2 linked regions of the Macaca fascicularis genome follow. The protein of the gene in region 1 interacts with the protein of each later gene in a pairwise test. Links are inferred from orthologs where the notes say so. Each region holds a gene or a part of one and is shown on either strand. Other genes may lie near its edges.

Region 1 (3,823 bases):
CTACTAAAAATACAAAAATTAGCCCGGCGCGGTGGTGGGCGCCTGTAGTCCCAGCTACTCCGGAGGCTGAGGCAGGAGAATGGCGTGAACCCGGGAGGCGGAGCTTGCAGTGAGCCAAGATTGCGCCACTGCACTCCAGCCCGGGAGACAGACCAAGACTCCGTCTCAGGAAAAAAAAAAAAAAAAAAGGTTTTTTTGGAGAGAATGAATTATTCAGAATAAAAGGCCTCCTGATAATTTGGACTCTGTGACAAGTAAAAGTAAAATGTGAGAGTGTGTTACATCATGAAAATATTTTTAAACTCATTCTGGTTTACTTTATTAATAAAATCCTTAAAAACAAGAGGCTGAAGAGTCAAAATATAATTAATTACATCATCTGAAGTGAACTCCTTTGTTAAAACGATCTGTGGAAACCATTAACTCTGTTCTGTTTTGTTTTGTTTTGTAGCTGACTTTGGTTTCTGTGCCCAGATCACCCCTGAGCAGAGCAAACGCAGTACCATGGTCGGAACCCCATACTGGATGGCACCAGAGGTGGTTACACGGAAAGCTTATGGCCCCAAAGTCGACATATGGTCTCTGGGTATCATGGCTATTGAGATGGTAGAAGGAGAGCCTCCATACCTCAATGAAAATCCCTTGAGGGTAAGATCAATTAAACACCAGCCTTGTAAATATTTTTCTTGAATTTAAAGTAGAAAGTTGATAAAACCTAGTCTCTGCCCCTAACTCTTCATCTGAAAATCATTTGCTTTCTGAGTCACAAATTAATGTGCTAGGTGAAGACTTGGTAGGTTTTTAGTAGTAAGCTGTATTGTTTTGTGTTTTACATAGGAAGTTTGGAGCACCTGCCTCTAAACCTTCTCCTTCTTTTATGTTTTAAGATTTTTTGAGACAGGGTCCCACTCTGTTGCCTAGTCTAGAGTGCAGTGGCGCAATCTCAGCTCACTGCAACCTCCACCTCTCAGGTTCAAGCGATCCTCCTACGTCAGCCTCCCAAGTGGCTGGAACTGTGGGTGTGCACCACCACACCCAGCTGATTTTTGTATTTTTATAGAGACGGGGTCTCTCCATGTTGGGTCAGGCTGGTCTCAAACTCTTGACCTCAGTTGATCCACCCACCTTGGCCTCCCAAAGTGCTGGCATTACAAGTGTGAGCCACTGTGCCTGGCCACTTCTTTTTCTTTTAAATTACCATATGTGGTTCGACATTATCACTTATTAAGGAAATGTAAATCAGAACCTCAACAATCAGTGGCTGAGGCAAGAGAATTGCTTGAACCCAGGAGGTGGCAGTTGCGGTGAGCCAAGGTGGCCAAGAGCTACTGCACTCCAGCCTGGGCGACAGGGTGAGACTCTATCTCAGAAAACAACAACAGCAAAAAACCCACCCCAACAGGATAACACTTCCAACTACTAGAATTGTTACACTCAAAAAGACAATAATAAATGTTGGTGGCCAGGTGCGGTGGCTCACACCTGTAAACCCAGCACTTTGGGAGTCCGAGGTTGGGAGTTCAAGATCAGCCTGACCAACATGGAGAAACCCCATCTTTACTAAAAATACAGAATTAGCTGGGTGCGGTGGTGGGCACTTGTAATCCCAGCTACTTGGGAGGCTGAGGCAAGAGAATCGCTTGAACCCGAGAGGCAGAGGTTGCAGTGAGCCAAGATCGCACCACTGCACTCCATCCTGGGCAACAAAGCAAAACTCTGTCTCCATAAATAAATAAATAAATGTTGGTGAGAAGATAAACTGGAACCCTTGTTCATTGCAAAATATAAAATGGTACATCTGCCTTAGAAAACAATTTGACAATTCTGTATGAAGTGAATACTGGATTACCAGATGACCTAAGAGTTCCTCTGCTGGGTACAGACAGCAGAGCCAAGAGAATTACAATCATACATCCATACAAAAGCCTGCATGCAGCCTCAATTATTTCCACTAAAAATGGAAATAATTCAAACCTGCTGAACAGTGGAATATTATTTGGTCATAGGAAGGAAGTGCCAATCTGTGTTGCAGCACTGAGCCTTCAAAGTATGGTGCTAAGTGAAAGAAACTGAGTAACAGATGGCAGTAGATTCTGGCCCTCTGTATCCTGAATGCTTTTCATCCCGTTGCCAAAGATTCCAGTTCATGTGCGCAGTTAAAGTACTTCTCTAGAGGTGATTAATTAGGGTACTTTTCAGAACGACGTTTAAAGTCCTCTAATTTCATTCATTCATTTAGCCAGTATTGATTTGAGTACCTGCCGTGTGCTAAGCACTACTCAAAAGGCTGTCTAAAAGAACCCACACAAATTCCTGCTCTTACAGAACTTATATTCTAATGGGAAAAGAGAGAAAAACCAAATAAACAGAATAATGTGTAATATATTGAAGAATGGACTCTTGAGTGCTGAGACTGGCAGGAAGGAGGTTAGGGCGTTTACTTTCAAAAGGTGCTTGGAGAGCTGGGCACAGTGGCTCATGCCTGTCATCCCAGTATTTTGGGAGGCCAAGGTGGGAGGATTTCTTGAGCCTAGGAGTTCAAGGCCAGCCTAGGCAACATAGTGAGACCCCATCTCTACAAAAAAAATTTTAAAAATTAGCCAAGCATGTTAGTGTGTGCCTGTAGTCACAGCTAACTGGGACCATCCCGCCTCAGTGGGTGGGTCACTTGGTCCCAAGGAAGATGAGGCTGCCGTGAGCTGTTCTCACATCACTGCACTCCAGCTTGGGTGACAGCTAGGCCCTGTCTCCAAAAAAATACAATAAAAATAAATTTTAAAATTAAATCAAAAGCATGCATAGGGAGGGCTTCACTGAGGTGAGGTGACATTTGGACACAGGAAGTGCGAGAGTGATACTTACCTAAGGGGAAAGGATTCTAAACAGAAGGCACAACATGTGCAAAAGCCCTAAAGCAGGAGCGTGCCTGGTGTATCAAGAGGTGATGACGGACCTCAGCATAGCTGGCCTCTGCTGAACTAACAGCAAGAGGTGGCGGTCGATCTGCAGAGAAACCAGGCCAGGCTGTAGTGCCTTATGAGACCCTTGGAAGGATTCTGGCTTTTACTGGAGGCCAGATGGGGAAACTGTTAGAGAGATTTGAGCGGAGGAGTAAGTTGGTCTCCTTAGGTTTTAATAGGATTGCCCTGGCTACTTTGTTGAGAGATTCTTGAGGAAGGCAAAGGCAGAGCAGAAGACCAGTTAGGAGGCTGATGTAATGATTCAGGCAAGCAGTGATGATAGCCTAGACCACGACGGTATCAGCGGAGGTGGTAAAAAGTGGTGGGATTCTGGATGTATTTTGAAAGAGGAGTCTACATGGGAGAGAGAAGACCAACGGGATCTGTTCCCAAGTAACTTAACTGCTTTCCTGTACAAAGCTGAAGAATATTACAGGACTGCGCCCACAGCCAGGAGTGCGCTTAGGCTTCAGAAGAGGCTCGCCTCCAGTGGCCTTCACTGTGACAAAAAGGTATATTTGAACCCCAGTGAGACTGGTGAAATCACCAGCGCCAGCTCCTATCAGCAGATCCAGAAGCTTTCCAAAGATGGGCTGATCTTCTGCACGCCTGTGACTATCCATTCCCAGGCTGGATCCCCCGCCCCCCGCAAAAAAAAAAAAAAAAACCCTTGGTCGGGCACGGTGGCTCACGCCTGTAATCTCAGCACTTTGGGAGGCTGAGGTGGGCGGATCACTTGAGGTCAGGCGTGACCAGCCTAACATGGTGAAACCTTGTCTCTACTAAAAATTCAAAAATGAGCCAGGCATCGTGGCGGGCACCTGTATTCCCAGCTACTCGGGAGGCTGAGGCGGGAGAATTGC
Region 2 (3,196 bases), on another chromosome or scaffold:
TATTTTTAGTAGAGATGGGGTTTCACCATTTTGGCCAGGATAGTCTCGATCTCTTGACTTCATGATCCACCTGCCTTTGCCTCCCAAAGTGTTGGGATTACAGGCGTGAGCCGCTGTGCCTGACCTCTATGTCTCTTCTTATCTTTGGTTTCAGAATACAGTTTAATCTTATAGCAGAAAACACTTTTTAGTGAAACAAACTGGATCTTGCCATGAAACAAGGAATAACTGATTAATTTGGCAGAATGACATGAACTTATTTAGGTTGCTTTGTTTTTGATTGTTTTATTCAGTAATTAGCTCCTAAGACCCCTGGGAGCCTGTGCTCCCCCCAGACACTAACCACAGTCTCTATCCAGTTGCTGGTTCTGGGTGACAGAGTGATCTCCCCATCATGATCAGCTTACTTCCTGTGGCCCATTAGGGGAGCGATGACCTGGGGAGCTATTTGCCTGTCGAGTGCGCACACCTGGAAACATACTGCTCTCAATTTTTCATCCATGTCAATGAGAAACGAGTGGCCCGTTAGCAAGATGTAACTATGCAATCATGCAACAAAGCTGCCTAGTAACATTTCATTTATTACAGGACTAAAACTCATTATTGTTTGTAAAGGATGAGTTCATCACCTCTGCAGAGTTATAGTTCATACACAGTTGATTTCCATTTATAAAGGCAGAAAGTCCTTGTTTTCTCTAAATGTCAAGCTTTGACTTAAAACTCCCGTTTTCTAGTCAGTGGAGTGTATGCATATGAAAGAAAATGTTTAGCAATTAGATGGGAGAGAAGGGAAATAGTACTTGAAATGTAGGGTTTTTTTTTTTTTTTTTTTTTTTTTGAGACAGGTTCTTGCTCTGTCACCTAGGCTGGAGTGTAGTGGCATAGTCACAGCTCACTGCAGTCTTACCTTCTGGGCTCAAGTGATCCTTCTGCCTCAGCCTCCTGAGTAGCTAGGACTACAGGTGTGTGTCACTACAACTGGCTAATTTTTAATTTTTTATAGAGACACAGGGTCTCACTACATTACCCAGGCTGGTCTCGAACTCGTGAGTTCAAGTGGTCCACCCACCTCAGCCTCCCTAAGTGCTGGGATCACAGGCGTGAGCCACTGTGCCTGGCTATCACGCAGTTCTTAAGGGCTTACTCCAATAGCAGAAGAGATTAGAAAGGCTGGTTTTTTCCAACAGTGGGAGCTTGAATCTGGAAAGTCTTAAACTAAAATTGTTGTAATTTCATACTACTAAGAAGCACTTTGCTCATGCAATTGAAAAAAATTAAGCTCCTACCTGGATGATTCCAGGGCACTTATAAGCAAGTAAGACTAATTAGAAGCCCTGATAGGCGCTAATGAAAAGGCAGGAAGTAATTTGCTCTGTGATACAAACATTCCTGGAGGTTTGGAATTGTTGTACATGGTTTGGCACAGGATTCCTTACTGCGAGCTTTTGCTTTCCCAGGACCAAAGTCCGTGTTCTATGTCACACATCGTGGAGGGCAGGGGACAAATGGATACAGAGCTTGGTATCCACTGATATGGAATGAGAACTTACATGGGGCGAGCTTAGAAGCCTTTCAGTTGAAGTAAATAGAAAAATTAAGACACTTTCCTTTACCTTTAGGTATTTTTAAACATGTATTTTTATGCTCAGATCTTTCTTTTATAACTGGGTTATAACTGGGGAGAAAAAAGGATCTGGGCATGAGAGAAAGTGAAATCAAGGGAGGAAGAGGCATGCAATGGGGAAAGGGAAGAGCAGGAACGTCCACTTTACTGAATACACAATACTGAAAAGATGGATCCTGCCATATTCTTCCCCCAATCAACTTGGATGAAAAACAGAAATACTATATTCTTAAACACAGTTCATTTTTAGTTTGTCATGGCAATATAATATGGAAAAAAATCAGGCCACTACTAAGCATTTGTAGAGTGCATCTTTGGCAAAAATGTGGACCTGCAACAATTCAGATGGTTTTCTTTCAATCAGGTTCAAAAATCATGGCTCTGTAAATTTCCAAAACTTTTAAGTCTTCTCATGTCTTCTTATAATCAGGCATTCAGAGGTACGTGTTGATTCTAATAGCTTTGGTAGAAACATGCTGAAAATAGAAATGAATATAAAATGCCTTGTCTTTAGGCTAATTTGGTATGGATTTGTAAGGCCTGAGTAAACTGGAAATTAGTACATTTCTTGAAATAATACAAATGAATGTGAGACACATGGGTAGAACAGCAGATTCAGAAAAAAAGGTTAGTATTGTAGTCCCAAGTTTTGTAAAACATCAAGTAAGGCCACCAAGAGAGGAACCAACTTTCTTTTTCCGGTTCCCTGGGGTGATTTCCTATCAGCTTCGCGTTCATGAGCTGGGGATTTGTAAAAGGCCTTTGACTTTGTTTTTGATCTGATCAGCAGCGGCACTGTCTGCAATCCAGGCCCAGCATTCTCAGAGAGTGTGCAGTACGGACGCTTCTGGCTGGCAGGGAGGTTGTGGCAGTGGGCTGACTAGTGTGCTGTGTTGGGAGGGCTCACAGGGTGGAGGGGCAAGCCTCCGTGCAAAGGGAATTCCTTTCTGGTCGTGCCCTCCTTTTTGGCTGGAGCTTGGCCGCAGACATTGGCTGCCATTCTCATGCCTGGGTGGGGTGGAGGCAGGTCCCGGACAACCTCAGATAATTGAGCAGCAGCTGTGACCTTCAGAACAGCGTTTCTTCTTTTTCTTGGGGTGGAAAATGGTGAGGATTGCTTCATCAAAAACCGCTTTGAGACCTTTCTGAGTCAGAGCAGAGCATTCCAAGTAGCACTGCGCTCCGATCTTAAACGCAAAAGAGAGAAAGGCATGAGAGAGAAAAAAGAGAACAGCACAGTGGTATCAGCTCACTGCCCAGACAAGCACTCACTTCTGCCTGTCCTACAAACAGCTTGTGGGGTGGTTTGGATTACGTTTGCCTTTTTTTTTTGTTTTTTTCATTTCAATTTGTATATGTTATTCTATTTTTTTGTATTTTTGTATTTCTTACATTCCTTTATTAGCAATAAATGGTTGTGGATCACTTCTGGAAAGCAGTACATCCTGAAATTGATCCATAGCCATTTATTCCTAAGAATATAAAAAATATAAAGATCTAAAAAACTAGGAGACAATTCAAAACCAATGATATAATTTAAATACGTTTTGTGAAGAACAGGGGTGCATGATC

Evidence for each region.
Region 2: the proteins of PAK2 (region 1) and RHOJ interact in binary tests that used the Homo sapiens proteins (3 or more experiments, as listed by UniProt). The two-hybrid records come from large-scale screens. The link is inferred for Macaca fascicularis from reciprocal best matches to the Homo sapiens genes PAK2 and RHOJ.

The regions. Positions count from the first base shown.
Region 1 is NC_088376.1:2,236,289-2,240,111, forward strand, and holds part of PAK2 (serine/threonine-protein kinase PAK 2), read left to right. Parts: intron 1-451; coding exon 452-648; intron 649-3,823. UniProt on the Homo sapiens protein: Serine/threonine protein kinase that plays a role in a variety of different signaling pathways including cytoskeleton regulation, cell motility, cell cycle progression, apoptosis or proliferation.
Region 2 is NC_088381.1:131,103,765-131,106,960, reverse strand, and holds the end of RHOJ (rho-related GTP-binding protein RhoJ), read right to left. Parts: intron 2,812-3,196; coding exon 2,665-2,811; 3' UTR 562-2,664; downstream 1-561.